Macaca fascicularis: one gene and its partners. The protein of the gene in region 3 interacts with the protein of the main gene of each other region in a biochemical or structural test. Links are inferred from orthologs where the notes say so. Each region holds a gene or a part of one and is shown on either strand. Other genes may lie near its edges. The genes, in order: OCRL, ARRB2 and CLTC.

Evidence for each region.
Region 1: the proteins of CLTC (region 3) and OCRL form a complex in vitro, tested with the Homo sapiens proteins (2 studies listed by BioGRID and IntAct, with this or other methods). The link is inferred for Macaca fascicularis from reciprocal best matches to the Homo sapiens genes CLTC and OCRL.
Region 2: the proteins of CLTC (region 3) and ARRB2 form a complex in vitro, tested with the Homo sapiens proteins (3 studies listed by BioGRID and IntAct, with this or other methods). The link is inferred for Macaca fascicularis from reciprocal best matches to the Homo sapiens genes CLTC and ARRB2.

What each region holds. Positions count from the first base shown.
Region 1 is NC_088395.1:135,811,767-135,815,517, forward strand, and holds the start of OCRL (inositol polyphosphate 5-phosphatase OCRL), read left to right. Parts: upstream 1-1,416; 5' UTR 1,417-1,608; coding exon 1,609-1,647; intron 1,648-1,757; exon of another isoform or gene 1,758-1,906; coding exon 1,907-1,986; intron 1,987-3,751. UniProt on the Homo sapiens protein: Catalyzes the hydrolysis of the 5-position phosphate of phosphatidylinositol 4,5-bisphosphate (PtdIns(4,5)P2) and phosphatidylinositol-3,4,5-bisphosphate (PtdIns(3,4,5)P3), with the greatest catalytic activity towards PtdIns(4,5)P2.
Region 2 is NC_088390.1:4,804,834-4,808,584, forward strand, and holds the start of ARRB2 (beta-arrestin-2), read left to right. Parts: upstream 1-1,316; 5' UTR 1,317-1,339; coding exon 1,340-1,473; intron 1,474-3,751. UniProt on the Homo sapiens protein: Functions in regulating agonist-mediated G-protein coupled receptor (GPCR) signaling by mediating both receptor desensitization and resensitization processes.
Region 3 is NC_088390.1:47,042,266-47,045,916, reverse strand, and holds part of CLTC (clathrin heavy chain 1), read left to right. Parts: intron 1-189; coding exon 190-312; intron 313-1,518; coding exon 1,519-1,656; intron 1,657-1,897; coding exon 1,898-2,062; intron 2,063-2,214; coding exon 2,215-2,395; intron 2,396-3,651. UniProt on the Homo sapiens protein: Clathrin is the major protein of the polyhedral coat of coated pits and vesicles. Two different adapter protein complexes link the clathrin lattice either to the plasma membrane or to the trans-Golgi network.

The DNA of each region.
Region 1 (3,751 bases), on a different chromosome or scaffold from region 3:
GCCAGTTTGTCTTTTAACTTGTTTATATTGTCTTGAAGTACACACATTTTGAAATTTTATTTAGCTAAATGTCTTATTCTCATTCCATATTCCAAGCTCATAAAGATACTCAGCTTTTTTCTGAGAGTTATAAAGTTTTGCTTTTCACATTTAGATCTTTAATCCACCTAGAATTGATTTTTCTTCCATGGTTAGAGGTAGGGGTCTAATTTTATAGTTTTCCATATGGATAAGCAGTAGTCCTACTACCACTTAGTGGATAATCCATTATTTCCCCACTGATTTGAAATGTCCCACACGCTGCATATCAACCTTCCATATATGTGTGGTCTGTTTGGGGGCTTTATATTGTGTTTCATTGATTGTCTATCTCCATAGTATACTTTTAATTACTACAGACTTACAGTCAGTCTTGATATTTAGTGTATTATATATTCTGGAACAAATGAATAACACAATCGAAAAATTACTTTGGGAAAAATATTGTTATGGTTGTCAACAGAGTAAACAGGTCAAAGGACAGAGTAAACCCAATAGGATTTATTTAAAGAAAAATGCAATAACCCAGATAGGCTATCACAAGGGCTTACAATAAAGTTATGGCAGTGCGAATGGAAAGAAAATAAGGAATCTAAAAGTAATTCCATGTAAAATATTAACAGGGTTTGTTGACTGATTGGATATAGAGATTAGGAGGGGGAAGACAATATATGGCTTTTAAGTGAAATGATAATGAGTTAGTTTTGTGACGTAGTGATGTATTAACAATGGACTCTATTAGGTAACAGGTCTGGGCCAGGGATATATATTTGGACATTGTCTAGTTAGAGGTGACCTGGAGGGGATGCAGAGGAGGAGCAAAGGTCTGGGCTTTGGGGAATTCTCTGATATAGGGCATAGAAGAAAGAAGAGGAAGGGAAATGGTAGGATAACCAACACAGAGCATTATAACCTTAAGAAATATATATATATAATATTACATATATAATATATATTATATTATATATAATATTACATATATTATATATTATATTATATATAATATTACATATATAATATATATTATATTATATATAATATTACATATATAATATATATTATGTATAATATATATTATATAATATACAAATTTTATATATTTTATATATATATTGTTTCATATATGGATGATGTGGGTCGTATTGACACAACAGGTTTGAGATCCCCCATAGGTGTGACTGTGTTTTGTTTCTGTGGCCATCTTCAAAGTCCTCAGAACAATTTTGATGTCACAGGTGGCATTTAAACCCCATTCCTTGCTGGACGTAGTAGGGACGCCCCCAGTCCGTCGGGTCTCTCGCTGCAGTTCCGCAGGTTGGCCGCAGGGAGCGGAATCTGCGGCGGCCTGGAAAACTGGCGGGGGCGCGAGGCGCCGCTCTCTCTCGGGTCAGATTCTCAGCTCCCAGCTCCCCGCTACCGGCTCCCGGCTCCCGGCGCCCGGCGCCCGGCGCGGAGCGGTTCCTCAAACGACACGCAGCCGAGGTGGGTGGGTGGGTGTGGGGACTCGGGAGCCACTGTCGTCGGATCCGCCCGCAGTCCGCTGTCCCGCCGAGCCCGGAGGCCGCCTGGATGGAGCCGCCGCTCCCGGTCGGAGCCCAGCCCCTTGCCGTATCCGCCGGAGAGAAGGGGGAGGGGAGACCGCGCAGGGCCGCGGGTGGGGGTCGGGGGCCCTGCGGAACACGGCGGGGCGGGGCAACCGGGTGGCCCAGAGGCCAAGCAGAGTGGGGGAGGGGGCCGGCGCGGGAGGCGAAGCCGGGCGGGGCGGGTGAGGGCGGCCGGGGCGGGGGGTGGAAGACCCCCTTCGCCCCGCAGTGCACCACTCCTCCCCACCGCGCTTCCAAAGGAGACCCTTGACTAGCGCCCGCATACTGTCGAGGGTATGGAGATGAAGGGTCCTCTCCGGGAGCCCTGCGCCCTGACCCTAGCCCAGAGGAACGGGCAATATGAGTAAGTAACCACCTGATTCCCACAGAGGAGGTGAGCCTGCCATTACCTCCCAACCCCAAACCGCGACGGGTCACCCACTGTCCTCCTACTAAGGCCACACGGGCAACAGGTTCAGGTCCAGGTGTGAAGTGCCAGTGCTCTCTAACCTCGGGGCTTTGTCCTCAACTTCCAAGCCTCTGGATCTTGCTTGGCAGTGTGGCTCAGTGGAAGGACTGAATGGGCGGGGAAGCAGGAAGCCTGGGTTCTTAGTTCCTGCCCCTGCAACTGACATGTGTTGTGTAACGTTGGGCAAGTCAATAAAGCTTTCTGGGCCAAAGTTAACTCTTCAGTTTAATAAAACCATTAACTGCCTTACCTTATAGCCTTTGGAGTTATAAGTGGGGGAAAAATAAATGCGAGAGTGGTTTACAAAACGTAAAAATGCTATGGAAATGCCTCATTGTTCACGTTACAGACTTGTCTTAACCCTATTCAGCTGGTTTCTCCAGTCTCCCTACCCCCTTATCCCACTTGTTTGAAGGCATATTCATTAATTCAGTAATGGTTTAGTGTAGGCCAGAAACTGCCTCACTTACTGATTTGACTGTTAGAAAATGTAATGAAATGTGTAGAGATAGAAATAACAGTATTTTATCAGTGTGTCACCTTCCTCTCTGCCTTAGACATAGGAACTCAGTAAATACTGTTGAATGATTGATCAAAAGATTATTTTGATAAGCTATCACCATAGCTGCTAACCTCTATTGTCACTAATGCCTCATCTCAAAAGTATCCATGGTGACCTTTACATATCATAGGTCCCTATCCCTGTGTGCCCAAGACACCTCCCTTGGATATTCACTGGCTTCTTGGCATAATATTCCTTCCCAGTTTAAAAATTGTTCACTTAAATCTTGCCATCTCCCAACATTGGGTTCTGCCTAAAACCAATTTCCTCAGTCCCCACTTTTAGATCCTCTGTGTCTATGCTGTCTGATTTACATGGAAGAAATCCCCACTGGCCCAACCTGCTCTTTTCTGAGACTATTGGTGCCACTGTAACTGGATGTCAGCTAGTTCTATGAAGTAGCTCCTTCCTAGGTCCTGCTTAGTCAGCTCTATTGGGAAGTTCATCAAACCCAGATTTCATCCAACCCTGGAAGACTAGTTTAATGAAACTAAATTCAGAATTTAATAAAACTAAATTCAGCAGAAAAGTGGAACACCACTAACATTTCCAAAGGCTAGAGTGGGTTAGAGAGAGGTGACCCTTGAGCAAACCAGTAAAACTTCTGTGCCTTGGTTTCCTCTAATGTAAAAACAAAAATCTGAAGATTGAATAGAATAGCTACATTACTGAGATGACCACAGCCCAGAAGGTGGTCCCTCGGATTAGTAGATTTGGAACTCTGTTGAGCTAATAAGGAAGTCTTGTGTTCCAATTCTGTGTAAGTTATGGGGGTATAGTTGGGGGTATATGTGGGGGTATGGGGTTGCTATATAACTAACACTAATATATAAATAACACTATAAAACTAACAACTATATAACTAACAACTAATATAGTTGTTGCTATATTAACAGTTTATAAACTATATAGTTTTAAATATATATAAACTATAGTTTATATATAAACTAACAACTGATACAGTTGTTGCTATATAACTAACACTCAATGACTGCTTATGTGCCAGGTACTGTTCTAAGCACTTTTCATTAGTTAGTTCATTTAATCCACGTGCGAGGGATAAAATAGTAATATCATTATCCCCCTTTTATAGATACA
Region 2 (3,751 bases), about 42 Mb from region 3:
GAGGCTGAGGCGGGTGGAACACGAGGTCAGGCATTTGAGACCAGCAAGGCCAACGTGATGAAACCTTGTCTCTATTAAAAATATGAAAAGTAGCTAGGCATTGTGGCAGGCGCCTGTAATCCCAGCTACTCGGGAGGCTGAGCAGAGAAGTGCTTGAACCTGGGAGGCGGAGGTTGCAGTGAGCCGAGATCGCGCCACTGCACTCCAGCCGGGGCAACAGAGCGAGACTCTATCTCAAAAAAAAGAAAACGAAAAAAAACTTCTGCACATCCTTCAGAAAGACTGTCCTCATATGTTCTCCGCTCCACCCCCGCCCGGGCCGAGCGCTGTTAGTGGCTGTGTCTTCTGACTCAGACCTCTGTAATAGCATTCCTGGGTAATACCTGTGTATGTGTCTCCTCAACTATTCTAGGAAGTCAGGGGCCATGGTAATTCATATGTGTCCCCATCGATTGGCATAGTAAATAGCATAAAATAGGCACGGATGGGTGGGTCGATAGATGGACCGATGGGTGCGAGCGAGTGAGTGAGTGGATGTTAGCTGGGATGGGTGGGTGAAGGAGATGGAGAGTCAGAGACATTGGAAAAGGGAACCCTGCGAAAATCAAATGTAGACACCAGGAGGAGCTGACACGCTGCGGTGAAGAAGCGGGAGGGCTGGCCACAGAAGGCGGTACGCTCCGCGTGGAGCAGGTGAGCTGCGCGCACTGAAGCAAGTATCACGCAATTGAACTGCTCACCCACGTGTTCCCCCCCACCATCCTCCTTCCCAGACGGCGCTTCAGCTCATTCCACCGCCCCCAACAGCCCGGTCGCCCCCACCGCCACTGAGAAAGCAAACAAAGGGGAGGAGACCCCTAAAGGTTCTGGATGCCGAGGGCCAATCGAAAGACTTAGATCCCCTGGAAGGCGGGAGCCTTGGTTTAGGGGGGCCCAATCGGTTTCAAGGGGTTGCGGCGGGGCGGGGAGATGGGCGGGAAGAGCGGGAGCGGGCCCCGCGCGCGGGGGAGGGCTCCCCGGCTGGGACGGAACGCGAAGGGTTGGGGGCGGAGCCAATGGCCCTGTGTGTCTGCTAGGAGAGGGCGGGCAGCGCCGCGGCGCGCGCGATCCGGCTGACGCATCTGGCCCCGGTTCCCCCAGACCAGAGCCGGGCCGGGAGGGAGGGGGAAGAGGCGAGAGCGCGGAGGGCGCGCGTGCGCATTGGCGCGGGGAGGAGCAGGGATCTTGGCAGCGGGCGAGGAGGCTGCGAGCGAGCCGCGAACCGAGCGGGCGGCGGGCGCGCGCACCATGGGGGAGAAACCCGGGACCAGGTAAGGGAGGTGGGGCCACGCGGCGGGGCATGGGCGGCGGCTCGGGGCGGGGGCTGGGACGGTCCCAGACGAGGACGCCGCGGAGAGGATCTGGGGGCCGGACGCCTGGGTCCCTAGGGACAGCCATCCGGGGCCGCACGCGCAGGTCCTCGAGGATAATGAGGTTGGGGGGAAATGCCCGGGCCCCTGCAGAAAGCGAGGCCGGAGGGGGATCAGAAAAACCGGTGTCGGGGTTCTCTCAGGGATGTGGGGCCAGACTACTGGGCTCTCCCGTGCCCAGGAGTCTGGGCAGGCTGCGATGCAGGGACGGAGGGAGGAGCAGGTGGCTGGCCCCGAGGGGTCGTGTACGGGGAGGCTGGATGCTGGGAGGGGGATCCCCTCCAGACTCGTGCCAAGCCAATGCAAAGCCTCCTGTCCAATATCCCCCAGGTAGTCGCGCTGCCCACACCTGTCCCGAGGGCCGGGTGGCTCCTCATCCAAACTTCTACCTTCCCCTGGGTTGCCAGGAGCAACAACAGCTTCATCTTGGGAGAGCCTGACCCTTCCTGAAACTAGATCGGATCCCTCTCCCTGGGGGTGGGGGAGGCAGTATTCACGCTGGGCGCGCGTCCACTCCCCGGATGTTTTCTGTGCAATCGAGGCTCTTTCCTTCCACTGATACCCCGAGTTCTCTTTTTTGGTCTCTAGCAAAATCCACTTCCTGTTGTGACTCAACACCCCCAAGGGGTAAGGGGTGAATGCCTGAGTCCCAGGGGAGCAGGAGCAAAAGACAGAAAGGTTGGGGCTGTAGGCCTCAACCCAGAGGGGATCGGGAATAGGGAATTGGTCCTGAGCTCTGGCTTGCTCTGCAAAGCATCATATCGACCCCACTTCCAACCTATAGAGTAGGAGAACCCAGGTTTCTGAGCGTCAAGTAGATGAGTATCAGAAAGAGATCATCAGAGAGATGATCGGTGTCCTGGATTAGGGTTTAAACATCCCAGAGAAAGGGGAAGTTGCTGCCTTGTGGGAGGCCCCTGATTTCCGTTATGTGGTTCAAGGAGTGGGACAGATGGACCAAAGGGGACTGCTGACTTGACCCAATTTCCCTCACCTCCATCAAATTCTGGGCCACAGGAAATGGAGAGAATAGCAGGAAGTGTGAAAGGACATCTGCTTCAGCTACCCCTGCCCCCATTGGGCACCTCCCTGGTCATCCCCACACTCTGCCTCCTTGGCCAGCCTAGTATCTGCACGCTGCTCCTCCTCAGCCTGGCAGGAGGTGGCTGGGTTAGGATCCAAAGGGCAGGTGCCTTGCAGCTGCTCCAGGGCAGTTGCCCCAGAGCCACACTGCAGTTGGCCCACTGACTGTGGCTGTCACAGCCCTGTGCCAGGGCTCCTAATGGGAGGACACCCTGGGACAAAGAGGAAAACCAGAAGCAAAGGGGAGGGAGAGCCTGGATGATGCCACAGCACTCAGCCCCCAAGTTGGGACAAAAGATAGGATGTTTATTCTAGCTGCCACCGTATCGATGTTTATTCTCTTTTATTGGTTAGGAATACCTGGGAGCCTCCATACCCTTTACCTTATAATCTTTGGACAGCTTGGCTTTCTGGGAAGAAGGGACAAGTGAAGTTGTAGCAGAAACTGGGCCTATGGTAGAAACCATTTAGGGCCAAAGGCCAGAGTCATTGCTCTCCTATATGCTCCAGCTGTCAGAGCTGTAGACCAGATGGAAAGATGGTTAAGTCTTACCCAGATACTGCGGCAACCTGCCCATTGGGGTCCTCTGGGAATGGGGTGGTAGAGTTGGAGGAGGGATGGGCTAGTTGGCAGGATTTCACGTTCTGCTGTCTATCTGAGGATCCTTTCCAGGGATCACTGCTGAGGCAGAGTGGATTGGAAGGAGTAAGGTGATGCTTCAAAGAATAGGCTCACAATTGGCCAGATCACTGGGATTGCCAAACACTTCCTTACCCTCCCAGCAGTGGGTGGAGTCCAGGCTTAAATTGTTTCAGCAACTGGAAAGCGAATACCCTTCAATTGAACAAACTATTGATGCCAGCTACAGAGACGGATAGTGTAATATTGATTGAGAGGATGGACTCGGAGCCAGACCGCCTTGGTTTCTATTAATTCCCACCATTTACTCTCTCTGTGACCTTAAAACACTTAACCTCTCTCTGCCTCAGTTTCCTCACCTGGAAAATAGAGACATTAGGACCTCCATCACTGGGTAGTTTTATTTTATTTTATTTTTTATTTATTTATTTATTTGAAATGGAGTCTTGCTCTGTCACCCAGGCTGGAGTGCAGTGACGCAATCTTGGCTCACTGCAACCTAAGGCCGGGCGTGGTGGCTCACGCCTGTAATCCCAGCACTTTGGGAGGCTGAGGCGGGTGCATCACCTGAGGTCAGGAGTTGGAGATCAGCCTGGCCAACTTGGGGAAACCTTGTCTC
Region 3 (3,651 bases):
AGTTATAAAAATTGACAGGTGTTTATTCAAATATGTCATCATCAGGGTCTAACTGGGCACTTTAAATCGAAAATGAATTTGTGCTTTCACAAGTAGTTCTATATTAGCAAGATTTTATAGTAGAAAAAGTCTTTAAATGCTATGAAATTGAAACTTAGAAGCAGCGTTTAAGTCTTTGTTTGTTTATAGGTTGGATACACTCCAGATTGGATATTTCTGCTGAGAAATGTAATGCGAATCAGTCCAGATCAGGGACAGCAGTTTGCCCAAATGTTAGTTCAAGATGAAGAGCCTCTTGCTGACATCACACAGGTAATGTGATTACAATATATTTTGTAGAAGCTGATTGAAATGGAGAGTGGGGGCCAGCCGTGGTGGTTCACGCTTGTAGTCCCAGTACTTTGGGAGACCAAGGTGGGAGGATTGCTTGAGGCCAAGAATTCAAGACCAGTCTGGGCAACATGTGAGACCCTGTAACTACAAAAAATTAAAAAATCAGCTGGGTGTGGTGGCACATGCCTGTTGTCCTAGCTACTCAGGTGGCTGAAGTGGAGGGACAGCTTGAGCCTGGAGGTCCAGTTTGCAGTGAGCTGTGATCATGCCATTGCACTCCAACCTGGGCAACAGAGTGAGACTCTCTTAAAAAGAAAAAAAAAAAAAAAAGAAACTTAGAGTTTGTAGAAATTAAAGCTTTGTCACTCTATATGGATAAACCTCAAATGCCTTGCAAAAAAAAGCAAGTTGCAAAAGAATGGATAATATGAAACCATCTGCATGTAGTTTTAATACATGCAAAACAAACATCTTATTTAGAGATATATATGTATTAAAAATATGAAAAATACATGGGGATGATAAAACAGGATAGTAGTTGCCACTGGGTATGGGGAGAGGGAAGAGATGCATTTGGAAGTGTGAGTCAGAGTCCTTCATATTGTTTATGCTGTTGTTTTTCAAAAGTTTATAAAAATAAAGGTCAGTCTGGGCATGGTGGCTCACGCCTGTAATCCCAGCACTTTGGGAGGCTGAGGTGGGCAGATCACCTGAGGTCAGGAGTTTGAGACCAGCCTAGCCAATATAGCAAAACCCTGTCTCTACTAAAAATAACAAATTATCCAGGTGTGGTGGCAGATGCTTGTAATGCCAGCTGCTTGGGAGCAGAGGCAGGAGAATCGCTTGAACCTGGGAGGCGGAGGTTGCAGTGAGCTGGGATCGTGCCATTGCACTCCAGCCTGGGCAACAAGAGCAAAACTCCGCCTCAAAAAAATAAAATAAAATAATAAAATAAAGGTCTATTGGTTCAATTGTATTCTGCTATTATGTAATATCTTGAAATATTTTGTAGTTTTTATCAGAACTGAAAATAACTGTGTTCTCTAGAGGACAAAAATTTGTTCTTAAAGTGTTCATATTGTCCAAATAAAATTCTCAGGTAAAGAAAGAGCTCGTGCATAATTTTGTCTACATACTCTCCATAGTATCTTAAAACAATTTCTTTTAAATCTATTTTTTTTGTAGATTGTAGATGTCTTTATGGAATACAATCTAATTCAGCAATGTACTGCATTCTTGCTTGATGCTCTGAAGAATAATCGCCCATCTGAAGGTCCTTTACAGACGCGGTTACTTGAGATGAACCTTATGCATGCGCCTCAAGTATGTGTTTTAATGCTTTTTAGGCATGTTTCCAACATTGTTTTAGTAGTTGTGCAGAGCATCTCAGATTGTCATGCAAAGCTACTGAGATGCCTACTCCTTATACAAGAAAATTTAGCTATTATAATATTCTTTTGTACTTTCTTTAACAGTTCACTATTAAACCTTAATCTGTAATGGATGTTGAATTACTCATATAAATGGAGTGGACAATTAACTTTCCTTGTTTGTGGTTTTACAGGTTGCAGATGCTATTCTAGGCAATCAGATGTTCACACATTATGACCGGGCTCACATTGCTCAACTGTGTGAAAAGGCTGGCCTACTGCAGCGTGCATTAGAACACTTCACTGATTTATATGATATAAAACGTGCAGTGGTTCACACCCATCTTCTTAACCCTGAGGTATTTCAGTTTCTTACCTGATAGATGGTGTTAGTTGTGATTAATAGGTACACTGAAAATGTGTTTGTGGTACTAAATATTAATGATTTCATACCACCATGAGGTTCAACGTTATTTCATTTATTCATTCATTCATTTATTTTGTCTTGTAGTGGTTAGTCAACTACTTTGGTTCCTTATCAGTAGAAGACTCCCTAGAATGTCTCAGAGCCATGCTGTCTGCCAACATTCGTCAGAATCTGCAGATCTGTGTTCAAGTGGCTTCTAAATATCATGAACAACTGTCAACTCAGTCTCTGATTGAACTTTTTGAATCTTTCAAGAGTTTTGAAGGTAAGTAGGAGTTTTTGAGTTTTTTTAAAAAGTACTTAAGATAGCCAAGAAGAGGTATGCTTATGATCAGGCTATTGGAAATTTTGTCTTTCTTTCTTTTTTTTTTTTTTTTTTTTGAGACAGAGTCTCGCTCTGTTGCCCAGGCTGGAGTGCAGTGGCCGGATCTCGGCTCACTGCAACCTCTGCTTCCCGGGTTTACGCCATTCTCCTGCCTCAGCCTCCCGAGTAGCTGGGACTACAGGCACCTGCCACCTCGCCTGGCTAGTTTTTTTTGTATTTTTTTAGTAGAGACAGGGTTTCACCATATTAGCCAGGATGGTCTCGATCTCCTGACCTCGTGATCTGCCCGTCTCGGCCTCCCAAAGTGCTGGGATTACAGGCTTGAGCCACCGTGCCTGGCCTGGAAATCTTGTCTTTCTAAAAATTTGTTCTATGGGACATTTTAATTTTTATTCAATAAATGTTGTCAAGGCCCTTTTATGTTGGATCCTAAGGATATGCAGTGAACAAGACCATCTGTTTGGATATTTTATAGATGAATGAAAGGTAGAATTTTAAGAGAAAAATATGTAGTGGTGTTGAAATTGTATAAAATGAAAATACAGGTTGAGTGTCCCTAATCTGAAAATCCAAAATGCACCAAAGCCTGAAACTTTTTGAACACCAACATAATGCTCAAAGGAAATGCTTGTTGGAGCGTTTCAGAAATTGGATTTTCAGATTAGGGATGCTGATCAGGTAATTATAAAGCGAATATTCCAAAGTTGAAAATTTGAAACATGTCTGGTCTCAAGTATTTTGGATAGGGGATACTCAATCTGTACTAATGATCGGGTATAATAACATTTTATGCTTATATGTCTGACTCTTACAATAGCAGGTGATTCTCGCCAAGGGCATTTTGTGATTTGTTGCTATTTAGCAGAATTTCTTAACCTTAGTACTATAGACATTTAAGGCTGGATAATCATTGTAGAGGGGTATTCCTGTAGATGTAGAATATTTAGTAGAATATTTAGCAGCATTCCTGGTTTCTACCCACTAGATGCCAGTAGCGTCAGCTCCACCAGTTGTGACAACCAAAAATGTCTTCAGACATTGCCAGTGTCACCTGTGAGGAAAATCACCTCAGTTGAGAACCACTGCTATGCAGGGAACTAACGTAATCACTGTTGGGTGGCTAAGTTCTGGTCCTCAATTGCCTTTCTCTCCTCTTTGTAGTAGTAGTGCTCTATTGAGAAGGGGTAAGAGAGTCT